Macaca mulatta: one gene and its partners. The protein of the gene in region 3 purifies or fractionates together with the protein of the main gene of each other region. This does not show direct contact. Links are inferred from orthologs where the notes say so. Each region holds a gene or a part of one and is shown on either strand. Other genes may lie near its edges. The genes, in order: SERPINA1, VCP and DERL2.

What was found.
Region 1: the proteins of DERL2 (region 3) and SERPINA1 purify together in Homo sapiens (affinity purification with western blotting; 3 studies listed by BioGRID). This does not show direct contact. The link is inferred for Macaca mulatta from reciprocal best matches to the Homo sapiens genes DERL2 and SERPINA1.
Region 2: the proteins of DERL2 (region 3) and VCP purify together in Homo sapiens (affinity purification with western blotting; 4 studies listed by BioGRID and IntAct, with this or other methods). This does not show direct contact. The link is inferred for Macaca mulatta from reciprocal best matches to the Homo sapiens genes DERL2 and VCP.

The regions. Positions count from the first base shown.
Region 1 is NC_133412.1:167,658,411-167,662,725, forward strand, and holds part of SERPINA1 (alpha-1-antitrypsin), read right to left. Parts: intron 3,852-4,315; exon of another isoform or gene 3,756-3,851; intron 2,967-3,755; exon of another isoform or gene 2,964-2,966; 5' UTR 2,960-2,963; coding exon 2,314-2,959; intron 993-2,313; coding exon 722-992; intron 1-721.
Region 2 is NC_133420.1:64,665,474-64,669,334, forward strand, and holds part of VCP (transitional endoplasmic reticulum ATPase), read left to right. Parts: intron 1-17; coding exon 18-168; coding exon of another isoform or gene 169-191; intron 192-739; coding exon of another isoform or gene 740-779; coding exon 780-913; intron 914-991; coding exon 992-1,127; intron 1,128-1,439; coding exon 1,440-1,552; intron 1,553-1,951; coding exon 1,952-2,116; intron 2,117-2,207; coding exon 2,208-2,330; intron 2,331-2,605; coding exon 2,606-2,818; intron 2,819-3,316; coding exon 3,317-3,625; exon of another isoform or gene 3,626-3,682; intron 3,683-3,813; exon of another isoform or gene 3,814-3,861. UniProt on the Homo sapiens protein: Necessary for the fragmentation of Golgi stacks during mitosis and for their reassembly after mitosis. Involved in the formation of the transitional endoplasmic reticulum (tER).
Region 3 is NC_133421.1:6,989,084-6,993,498, forward strand, and holds the start of DERL2 (derlin-2), read right to left. Parts: upstream 2,868-4,415; 5' UTR 2,824-2,867; coding exon 2,731-2,823; intron 1,886-2,730; coding exon 1,820-1,885; intron 1-1,819.

The DNA of each region.
Region 1 (4,315 bases), on a different chromosome or scaffold from region 3:
AGGGACCTCAGGAGGTGCTGGCGTGAAACAAAGAAATTCCAGCCTCAATTCCTATTATGAACCCAACACCTTTTGTATTTTCATCTTGGTTTTACAGTGTACAAAATAAACTAGATAGGAGGGCATGGGCATAATTACGAATGCACACAGACACACTAATGTGTGACTCATATTGGAGTATCATTTACTACAGGGCACCCAATCTAACAGCACCGATAAAGTGACAGAGAAACTCAAGCCTTTTGCTAACATGCCCTGGCTATTCCAATTTTGAACCTTGCTTTTCTGGGCCTAGCCACACAGGCTCTTCCCCCATCCCCACAGGGACAGTCTACCCTTGAACTCCACACTCCACTACTGCCTTTGCCAGGAAGCCCATCTGTTCCCTTTTGGTTCTGCCAGAACGTGTGGTGGTGCTGCTGTCCCTGTCCTGGGCACTGGATATTGGGAAGGGACAGTGTCCACGCTGGAGTGGGAAGTCCCCAAGGACGAGACCTTTACCTCGTCACCCCTGGGTACTGTCCTGCTCATGGAGCATGGCCGGTGCCACCTGAACTCAGTGGTGGCCTCATTCTGGAAGCCAAGTTTATGCAGAGTAGCAGTGACCCAGGGATGTAGTGTTCACCCTCTCCAACCCTCTGGTCAGTTCTGACGGGCCTCAGTCCCAACGTGGCTAAGAGGTGTGGGCAGCTTCTTGGTCACCCTCAGGTTGGGGAATCACCTGCTGTTTTCATTTTCCAGGAACTTGGTGATGATATCATGGGTGAGTTCATTTTCCAGGTGCTGCAGTTTCCCCTCATCAGGCAGGAAGAAGATGGCGGTGGCATTGCCCAGGTATTTCATCAGCAGCACCCAGCTGGACAGCTTCTCACAGTGGTAGATGTTAAACATGCCTAAACGCCTCATCATGGGCACCTTCACGGTGGTCGCCTGGTCCACGTGGAAGTCCTCTTCCTTGGTGGCCTCAACGTCAAAGGGTCTCTCCCATTTGCCTGGACAGAGAGGGTAAGGCGGGCATCAGTAGGGGTGGGTGAAGGTTTGGAAGAGTGTGGCAGAATAAAGGAGCCATCAGTCCCCTCCCTGAGAAGCCCTGAACCCCCTTGACGACACACATCCCTCAAGCCTCAGCTTCATCATCTGCAAAAGGTGCTGAAACCAACCATCCAGGCTGCCAAAAAGGTCTGTGTGGAGATAATTCAAAACTAGAGGAAGATGCAGAATTTCTACATCGCAGAGATGTAAGGCTAAGAGATGCCATCCTGACTGTGCATTTTATTGGAATCGTATGTTTATTTGAGGGTGTCTTGGATACTACAAATAAAATGTTGGAGCATCAGGCATATTTGTTACCTCCTGTCTAAGGCTCCCTGCCTCTTGTTAATTGGCAGCTCAGTTATTCATTCAGGGCAAACATTCTGCTTACTATTCCTGAGGGTTTTCTTTATCCCCTGGATTGGCAGGGGAAATGCAGATGCCTGAGCAGCCTCCCCTCTGCCATGCCAAGAGAGCTTCACCATCGAGGCATGCAGAGTGGACAGGGGCCTCAGGGACCCCGATCCCAGCTTTCTCATTGGACAGAAGGAGGAGACTGGGGCTGGAGAGGGACCGGGGCCTGCCCTAAGCCACAGCAGAGCCAGGACCCCAGTTGTGCTGACTGCAGCCTGGCTGCTCTCCACTGCCCTCCTTTGCCTCAAGAGCACCCCTCAGGGGCAGGAAGGCAGCCTGAGATACAGAAGAGCCCACCATCTACTGTATGCCACACTTTTCCCAAGGTGTTTGTCACTTGTTTAATCCTAAAAAAAACCTGACAGCAAGAATGGTATTTTGTCCATGCTAAGATGGGAAATTAGCACCTCCAGGAGGTAGAATGCATTGTTCGGTGTCAAAAGCTAATAGTGGTAGAGGCAGGATTTGAACCCAGGTCTTTCAGACTGCAAAATTGATACTGATTCTGGGACACTAGAGTCGTCTAAAGTACGTTCCATGAAACTATCCCTTTATGCAGTATATTACAATTTGTTCTATAGTTCTAAGCATTATATATTCTACATATACAGTACACACAAGGACATTAAAGGCTCTGGAAAGTTCTGCAGAGCTGTCAGCGGTTTTGACAATTTAATCTATTATTCCCTCAAATTACTCAATGATGGAAAACATTTTAGTGTTTGTGTGTAGAAAATTGAAGAGCCCACACTGACATGCATTTCTATAGCCCATAATGCATTGCCAAGGAGAGTTCAAGAGATGATGGTTTGAGAATATTTTTGGTTGTTTCTATGGAAACAGCTCAGGCTGGTTTTGCAACCTTACCTTTAAAGAAGATGTAATTCACCAGAGCAAAAACTGTGTCTCTGTCAAGCTCCTTGACCAAATCCACAATTTTCCCTTGAGTTTCCTTCTCCACGTAATTGTTGATCTGTTTCTTGGCCTCTTCGGTGTCCTCAAAGTTGACAGAGAAGGCTTCTGAGTGGTACAGTTTTTTGACATCCTCCAAAAACTTATCCACTACCTTCAGGCTCTTGTTGAGGAACAGGCCGTTGCCGGTGGTCAGCTGGAGCTGGCTGTCTGGCTTGTTGAGGGTATGGAGGAGTTCCTGGAAGCCTTCATGGACCTGAGCCTCCGGAATCTCCGTGACGTTGAAATTCAGGCCCTCCAGGATTTCACTGTGAGTGTCAGCCTTGGTCCCCAGGGAGAGCATTGCAAAGGCTGTAGCGATGCTCACTGGGGAGAAGAAGATATTGGTGCTGTTGGACTGGTGTGCCAGCTGGCGGTATAGGCTGAAGCCGAACTCAGCCAGGCTGGGGGTGATCTTGTTGAGGGTTGGGTGGTCCTGATCATGGTGGGATGTATCCATCTTCTGGGCAGCATCTCCCTGGGGATCCTCAGCCAGAGAGCCGGGGAGCAGGCAGCACAGGCCTGCCAGCAGGAGGACGCCCCATGAGACAGAAGATGGCATTGTCCTGCAAGACAGAGACGGGGGCCAGGCCCTGAGTCAGGGCACATGATGACTCCCAGTGACCCGGGATTGACACCACGTGGAAGTGCCTAAGGCTTATTAAACCAGCCTGTGCCAAGTACTTGCTGACATCAGTAACACTGAAAGAATCAGAAGAATAGCAAAATGTATGTAGTGCTTACCATATGCCAAGCACTGTTCTACGTGCGCACATGTGTTAACTCATTGCTTTCTTGTAACAATCCTGTGAGGTGCTGATGCTACTATCCTTCTTTTTCAGATGAAGAAACCAAAGCCAGAGAGATTAGGTCACCTATTCAATGTCACTGAGGAAGTAAAGTAGCAGAACCAGAATCCTACATCTAGGTCCTGCGCGCAGGCTCTGGACAGCTCCACTTACATCTGCAATGACCCTAAGATGCAAGTGGTACAGCCACTGTTTTACAAAAGAAGCAAATGAGGCATAAGAAGAGGAATGGGCCTGGCCACGATTATCCAGGAATCGGGCCAGATCAGAATGAAGAATCACGTCAAGCTAGAAGCCCTTGGAGGGCTTCTATCTAATCCCACTGTTGAGTGGCCAGGGACACTGCTGCACAGAAGGGAAATGCATCTTGCACAATGGCACCAGCTAGAGCATGGTGGGGCTGTGATTAAATCCCCTGGGAGCTGTTCGCCCCCAACACTCACAAGGATCCTCAGCCCTTAGGGTTTTTTCCTAAGAGAGGGGGCTGTCCCCACAATGCTCTGTGGTCCCAGCCACAAGAATAGGCTGATGTCCCTGCAGTCAGCTCACCTGCCATCTGGATCACCAATGGTGTCCCAGTTCTGGGCTCTTGCTGTCAGGGACTTTAGAGAAGCTCATCTCTCCTGTGAAGCAAGGCTTTGTGCTGCTTTAAAGGAGATGGGGGTGGTGGGAAGTGAAAAAGCATCTCTTTTAGCTTCAGATAGACCTGGGATCTAATCTGACTCTGTCACTTTCCAGGTGTATGAGCCAGGACACGTCATTTATCTCCCTGGTCCTCATTTTGCCTCATACATAAAGTGAGGCTGTTGGAAGAATTTAGTGAAATAAGTCTAGACACCAAACCTTACATCAAAAGGATCTGAGAGGGCAACCCTTTTGAGGGAGGGGTTGACAGGTGTTGCAAATTCAAAGCCTTCAGGTGATAGTCCAGTGAGGAATACATGTTTCATAGCTGGGGCTCAGACAATAGGGAGTGGTGGGGCCTGTGGCTGAACCGGCGAGAGCAGGCTCTGCTGAGCAATGGTCAAAGTCAGTGTCATCCACAGCAACGCAGAGCCTGCCATGCCCCACAGTGCTCCTTCTACTCCAGATATGCCCAGACTTCGGAC
Region 2 (3,861 bases), on a different chromosome or scaffold from region 3:
TAGTTAAGCCATTTTAGGGTTTGGGAGAAGGTGGGAACGTAATCACACTCTGCATTGGTCCACAGCCTCCTAGAGGAATCCTGCTTTACGGACCTCCTGGAACAGGAAAGACCCTGATTGCTCGAGCTGTAGCAAATGAGACTGGAGCCTTTTTCTTCTTGATAAATGGTAAGATACTTGGTTCATCTTATGTCTGGCTAGACCCAATTTGAACTGGGCTCATGAGCTGGAGCACTCATGGACACATCCTTTTTGCACCCATGCCCTCCTGCACCTTTATAGCATATTTCTTCTGCTTGGGTATGTTACAGACAGATGAGCAATAGAGGGAAGATATTTTACACTGGTGCTCCCTGTCCTGCCCCCCTTGAGAAAGATGGTGGACAGACTGAAGAGCAGGAGCAAACTAGAACGAGAAATCAAAGGGCGAATGCTTAGTGATTTGAGAGAGTTTGGGGAAAATGAACTTCGATCACTGGCTCTTGGAGAATGCTATTTAGTGGTGTGCCATCTCTCCTGCTCTGGCTAGAGCATTTGTTGTCACATTTATACTTCTAGTTCAACTGTGAGACGAGTATACTGAGTCCCTGGGCTTCTCTCCAGCCTTGCCTGGTGGCTGTCCTGGGATAATGGCTGGTAGAGGATCTGAGAAGTAGGCGTAGGTTACCACCTTCTCACCCAGGACCTGTCTCTGGGCCAAACAAGCAAGATAACTGATTTTTGGGGGCAATTGGGAAAGACTGTCATTTTGTTATTGCCTCCATTCTGTATCCTTTCAGGTCCTGAGATCATGAGCAAATTGGCTGGTGAGTCTGAGAGCAACCTTCGTAAAGCCTTCGAGGAGGCTGAGAAGAATGCTCCTGCCATCATCTTCATTGATGAGCTGGATGCCATCGCTCCCAAAAGAGAGAAAGTAGGAGCTTACCTGAGGGGATAGTGGGGGGTTGAAAGGCCCTGACTTCACTTCTGACCAGACATCCTGTTCTGGCAGACTCATGGTGAGGTGGAGCGGCGCATCGTATCACAGTTGTTGACCCTCATGGATGGCCTAAAGCAGAGAGCACATGTGATTGTCATGGCAGCAACCAACAGACCCAACAGCATTGACCCAGCTCTACGGCGATTTGGTAAGGACTCCAGATACTTTTGACCATGTCCTTGCTTAGGTCCTACCTCTCTCCTTCATCTAAGTCACCTAATCCTCTTGAAGCCCTTCACAGTGATTGGATCTGGGTTTCTTTTTCCTTTATCCTACGTCCTGTCTAGAGTGACCATCTACCCTGGTTTTCCTGAGACTGAAAGGTTTCCCAGGGTTGAGACTTTTTCATTGCTAACATTAGGACAATCCTGTGCTAGCTGAGATGGTTGGTCACCCTAGGCCTGTCTCTTACCTCTGGACTAGAAACGAGCCCTGTCTATGTTCATGCACTGTCCCACAGGTCGCTTTGACAGGGAGGTAGATATTGGAATTCCTGATGCTACGGGACGCTTAGAGATTCTTCAGATCCATACCAAGAACATGAAGCTGGCAGATGATGTGGACCTGGAACAGGTGAAGTGATGATGAGGGCTGACCAGGCGTTACAATATCTTTAGGCAGTTGCTGGGAACTGGCTAGAGACATAAGGTTTTGATGTGAGGAGATGGGTTTTTATTTCTGGACAGGGGAAAGGAGGTAATCTGAGATTAAATCCAGGAAATTGGAGTTGGCATTTTTCTCACTTGACGCTGCATTTAGAGTAAATCAGAATTGTTGGAGCAGCTTTATTTCTAGGTCCTGAGTCCAGGATTAAGTACTTAAAACCCAGCCCATAAAGGTTTTGCTAGTATATGTATTCAAGGAAATTAGAGGACGCAGGGATAGCAGTCAGGGGAAGCATTCTATTATCTCTGAGCCTCCTGCGGCAGCTGGGTCTTTGAGGCAGCACAGTAAATAGATCTTTCTCTGCAGGTAGCCAATGAGACTCACGGGCATGTGGGTGCTGACTTAGCAGCCCTGTGCTCAGAGGCTGCTCTGCAAGCCATCCGCAAGAAGATGGATCTCATTGACCTAGAGGATGAGACCATTGATGCCGAGGTCATGAACTCCTTAGCAGTTACTATGGATGACTTCCGGGTAAGGACCACACCCCTGCCTCAGGTACACACATATGTGCTTTGACCCCTCCCCTGGTAAGTCTCATCCCCAGTTTTCCCTCCTTTTCTAGTGGGCCTTGAGCCAGAGTAACCCATCAGCACTGCGGGAAACCGTGGTAGAGGTGCCACAGGTAACCTGGGAAGACATCGGGGGCCTAGAGGATGTCAAACGTGAGCTTCAGGAGCTGGTCCAGGTAGGGTAACTTGGTCCAGGGTGAGTCACTGCCTCAGTACATTGTAATTGACCTTGGTGATCTTAGGGTGTCAACACGTTTGCTGCAAGAGATGTGAGAGCACGACTTAGGAACCTATTTTTCTTAGATTTGAGGCACTAAGGAGTCTGCTTCTAGAGAACCTGGATCTGATACCATTGGGTACACCATGAAGTAATGGAGGGCATGCTTCTGTTTAGTTAGGTTTCTTTCACAAGGTGGAGGTAACCTTGAACCCTCTTTCCTTTTCCTCCTAGTATCCTGTGGAACACCCAGACAAATTCCTGAAGTTTGGCATGACACCCTCCAAGGGAGTTCTGTTCTATGGACCTCCTGGCTGTGGGAAAACTTTGTTGGCCAAAGCCATTGCTAATGAATGCCAGGCCAACTTCATCTCCATCAAAGGTCCTGAGCTGCTCACCATGTGGTTTGGGGAGTCTGAGGCCAATGTCAGAGAAATCTTTGACAAGGTGAGCTACAATAGGCTGAGCTATCTATTGATTTGCCTGGGGACAAGGAATAGAGGCTGTTTTTCTTTAAGACGGTTGAAACATTCTTATTACTGGCTGCTCAACTGGACAGCAAGTCACTTGATTTTCTGAGGTGTGAGAGAGCTGTTTTTTTTTTTTTTTTTTCTTAAATTGAGACAGGGTCTGGCTCTGTTGCCCAGGCTGGAGGGCAGTGGTATAGTCATAGTTCACAGTAACCTTGAAACCTGGGCTTAAGCCATTCTACTGCAGACTCCTGAGTAGCTGGGACTACAGGCATGCGTCACCACATCTGGCTAATTTTTTATTTTTTGTAGAGATGAAGTCTCAGTATGTTGCCCATGCTGGTTTTGGATTTCTGGCCTCAAGTGATCCTCCCACCTTGGCCTTCCAAAGTGCTGGGAATACAGGTGTGAGCCACCACGTTTGGCCGAGAGATCTAGTTTTGTTAATGCTTGAATCAATCCATTCCTCCTACAGGCCCGCCAAGCTGCTCCATGTGTGCTGTTCTTTGATGAGCTGGATTCAATTGCCAAGGCTCGTGGAGGTAACATTGGAGATGGTGGTGGGGCTGCTGACCGAGTCATCAACCAGATCCTGACAGAAATGGATGGCATGTCCACAAAAAAAAATGTGTTCATCATTGGCGCTACCAACCGGCCTGACATCATTGATCCTGCCATCCTCAGACCTGGCCGTCTTGATCAGCTCATCTACATCCCACTTCCTGATGAGAAGTCACGTGTTGCCATCCTCAAGGCTAACCTGCGCAAGTCCCCAGTTGCCAAGGCAGGTGCAGGATCATGGGCTGTGGGAGACTTGTATGAGTCCTCAGTCTGGTATAGAGTGCTCTTTGGGTTCTGGACAAGATTGCTTTGGGGTTAGGGTTGGTCTAAAGGGAAGGTAGAATTTTTGAGGGTATTAAGATAATCTAGAATCAGGAATAAAATGGGGTGGCCAAAGAAGGGGCAAACTAGTTGGGAGTGCTTGGATGGCCCAAAGATCTGTGTATCTCAAGAGAGAAG
Region 3 (4,415 bases):
GTTTCATCATGTTGGCCAGGCTGGTCTCAAACTCCTGACCTCAAATGATCCACCCACCTCAGCCTCCCAAAGTGCTGGGATTACAGGCGTGAGCCACCGCGCCCGGCCAAACACTCATTTTCTTGTTGGAAACCCTGATACACCCTTCCCTACCCAACCTCTCCACACCCACAGTAACCACTCACAATGGTAGAGTGCTTAACATTTTAAAATGTCTACTATCTGTTGTGATTCTGTGAGACAAGCAAGTTAATTCACAGATAGGAAACTAAAAGACTAAAAGTTGAATAACTAGCTGATACTAGTTATTCAGCTAAAAGTTGAACTACTAGCTGAACACTAGTTACTCAGCTGAAAGTTGAACTTTTAAATGTCCTGACCAAGGACCCGCAGGAGTAGATGGAGACTGATGGCAAATCTCAAAGTCCTAACTCCAAATGTCATCAAGAGTTTAACAGTTTAACCCCAGGCAGAGTAAAACCAAGCAAGCCAAGTAGGAAGCAAGACTTACTTGGATGGAACTACAGCTCCATGTGAGTATTGTGGGAACACAGTGACAAGAGATGACAAGACTACTTTACAAATCACTAAATTCTTGAGAATTGGTAACTATTAAAGTTGAAACAATTCAGTTCTACATATTAATTACCCAGATTTTAGAGTCCTCATCCTAGTGAGGAGACAAGCATACACATAACTGCAAAGTAAAGGTGAGAGATGCTCTAAAACAAAGGAGGATGAGTACATAAAGGTTACACAAAAGCTGCGTTTTGAAAGGCAAGCCAGAGTTCAATGGGTATAAAGTGAACGAAACACATTTGAGACAGAGGGAACAGCATGTGTAGAGGCACAATTATTGGCTTTTGGGTCTCTCCCCTACTCCAACTATGGTCTGTAAGATCATCTTGGAACAGAAAAATCCATGTTTCTTTTAGCATTTTGAGACAGAGTTTCGCTCTTGTCTCAGAGGCTGGCATAATCTCGGCTCATTGCAACCTCCGCCTCCCGGGTTCAAGTGATTCTCCTGCCTCAGCCTCCCCAGTAGCTAGGATTACAGGCATGTGTCATCACGCCCGGCTAATTTTTGTATTTTTAGTAGAGACAGGGCTTCACCATGTTGGCCAGGCTGGTCTCGAACTCCTGACCTCAGGTGATCTGCCTGCCTCAGCCTCCCAAAGTGCTGGGATTACAGGCGTGAGCCACTGCGCCCAGCCTCTTTTGACATTTTAATCACCGGAAAGGACCATCTCCCACTGTAATCTAATAAACCACCACATAGCTTTAGATGTTTGGAATTTTGTTAGTATGATCTGATCACTGGAAGACAGATCACAATTTAAAAGCACTAACAGAATTGAGTTTCTGGACCATCATGATAACACCAAGGTGGTGGGCGTGCCTAGGTGGTGAATGGACAAAATAAGGCCATCCCTGCAGAGACAACCCCTAAGCAGCTAGCTGGTCACTCTCCTCTCATACTACAACATTAAGTCTAAACCAGTGATTTCCGAATACAGGAACTGGACACATCAAAACGATGCAGGGAACTTTAAAAATGAAACACAGATTTTAATTCCTACCCTTGCAAATTCTGATTTGGTACTTGTTGAGGAGCTTGGGAATCTCTTCAAAGTTCCCTAAGGGATTCTCAAGTCCAACCAGGCTGCAGAATCACTGCTTTACATCCTGACAAGACAACTTATAATCAAAGGTCCCCCATGGGGTTCTTTTTTAGGATAGTGTACAACGGGATTTGCTACTAAACAGTAAGTAAAAGAAGAAACTGAAGCATTAATCACTATTGTGATGAACCACTTACTTGAAAGTGTTTAAAGATTAATTCAGGATTGAAGTACAACTGAAAAGGTGTGATCAATTCCAACTGCTGAAATAGAAAAAGAGCTTCTTAAAGCAAATCAACCAAGAAACAAAATTTCATCATTTACAACAAAGGATTAGTAGGTCTAGCAATTTCCAACTCTCGGTCAATTACTGATTTTCTTTAAGCCTTTCTTCTTAGGCCAGAGGAAGAGGTTGGTAAAGAATTCTCTAGAATTGGTAGAATTCTTTGTATCCTCAATACCTAACACAAAAAAGTTTATGTTGCAATAGTTGAGGCTGACATGAAGAAATGAGGCAGACAGGTGGTGATATTTTAGACACAGGACAAATAAAAACAGCTGCTATGAATCTACCCACCACATGGGCACCACCTGAAACAGCCGTGTGAAACAACAAAACTCACTTGAAATAACGGAGACTCGAGACCCTGCCACCGTTGGGGCTGGGTACCTCCAGCTAGCCCTTTGTTACCCAGAGACCCTCTTTATTATAAGCCACTCCCCTCTGGACAGTTTCCACCTTGCTTTCCTCATTCCTGTTTCTTCATAAAACGGACCTTCCTCTCACTAGTCACCACGGTACCACCTGGCCATTGGCAGAGCTCTCGGACACATTTCTCGGGTGGGAGGCTCCCGCAACCCTAACCCGGTATAGGTCCGGCCCTCATCTCTTAGAAACTGACCTGACCCCCCATGAAGCAGCACTCCCTTCTCAGGTCACTGGATAAGCATTCTCGGCGCCAACTCGAACCCCAGAGTAATCCCTGTACGTCTCCAACCATCCCCGGGACCAGCCCCTCTGGGCCTCCCCGAAGCCCAAACCCCAGTTTCCTGAAGACCCAGTCATATCCAGCCCAGATAATGAGAAGGTGGCACTGCAGCTGCTCACCACGGCGGCGGTGGTGAGGACGCAGGCCGTGGTGTAGGCGCGGCTGACCGGTGGGATCTGCAGGTACTCCAGCCGCAAGCTCTGGTACGCCATCTTCCCCACCGTCGCCTGCCCCCCTCACTTCCCCTTCCGCCAGCAGGCCCAGGCGGCTGGGCGGGACAAAGGCCTCCCCCGCGCCCGCTTTAGGGTTCCCGCGGCTGCCCAATCAACGCCAAGCAATCGGCCAGCCGCCAATCCGTAGAGACTTAAGGAAGGCACATCCGCCAATCACGAGTTGCGTGGCCACCGCCCCCCCCCAGCCCCCCAAGTACAGGTTCCTTCTGCCAATCCCCGCCGGCCACAGCTAACTTTCCCGCCCAGCCCCTTTCTGTCATAATTGACGTGTCCCCAACCAGCCAATCAGGAACGCGAGAGTATCCCGCGTTTACTTTCGCTCGCCGAGGCGCGTATCAGTCGGAATTTTGGGGAGCCAACCGCGCCGTCTGTCGCTGGCAAGCCAGCGGCGGTTTAAAGGAGGTGGCGGGAAGCCTGTGTGTGCTCGAATTCGTGACCCTCATGGTCGCTCCGGTAAGTACTGCGGGGCAGCATTTTCTCTGAGGAGAAGCGGGGACGGGCGAGACTGGCTTAGGCGGCATCGCGAGGGAGCGCGGCGGCCCGTGGGTCGGCCTTACAGCGGGCTCCAACCTGAAGGTCCCAGCATGCAGCGCGGGCTCGGGGCCCGACGGATGCCGGGAGCCGGCCGGAAGTTCCGGCGCTCTGGCTTCTGGGTCCTGTGCAGCGCGATCGCCGGGTCTTCGCTTAACTCACTAAGATGGCCTGGGCACCTCTGCGTTGAATCGGCAAATACTGATCAAGCCACATTTATTCTGCCTTCAGGAACTCTTTAAGTCTAGCAGAGAAGATGAGGCGGTAGAAGTTTATCAGCCAGTGCCCGAAGAGAGGTCCTGATGGGAATTAAAAGGAAGGAGTTAATCAAGGAAGTGTATTTTTTGTTGTTAGCGATGGCGCACATCTGTAATCCCAGCTACGTGGGAGGCTGAGCTAAGAGGATCACTTGAACTTAGGAGGCCGAGGTTGTAGTGAGCCAACATCATACCACTGCACTCCAACCTGGGCGAGAGAGTGAGACTTTGTCTCAAAAAACAAAAACAAAAATAACAACAACAAGAAAATTAGCCAGGCATGGTGGCCTGCACCTGTAGTTCTGGCTACTTGGGAGGCTGAGGTGGGAGGATTGCTTGGACCCGGGAGGTTGAGGCTGCAGTGATCCGTGATTGTGCCACTGCACTCCGGCCTGGGTGACAGAGCCAGAACACGTCTCACAAAAAAAAAAAAAAAAAAAAACAGAAATCCTACCTTACATATACGGCCAAACAGTTATAACCACTCTATATTTAGCCATTACAAACGTAAATTTTTATTTTATTTTATTTTATTTTTTGAGACGGAGTCTCACTCTGTTGCCCAGGCTGGGGTGCAGGGGTACGATCTCGACTCACTGCAACCTCCGCCTGGGGTTCCAGTGATTCTCCTGGCTCAGCCTCCCGAGTAGCTGGGATCACAAGTGCCCACCACCACGCCTGGCTAATTTTTGTATTTCTGGTAGAGATAGGGTTTTGCTCTGTTGGCCAGGCTGGTCTTGAACTCCTGACTTCAGGTGATCTGTCCATCTCGGCCTCCTAAAG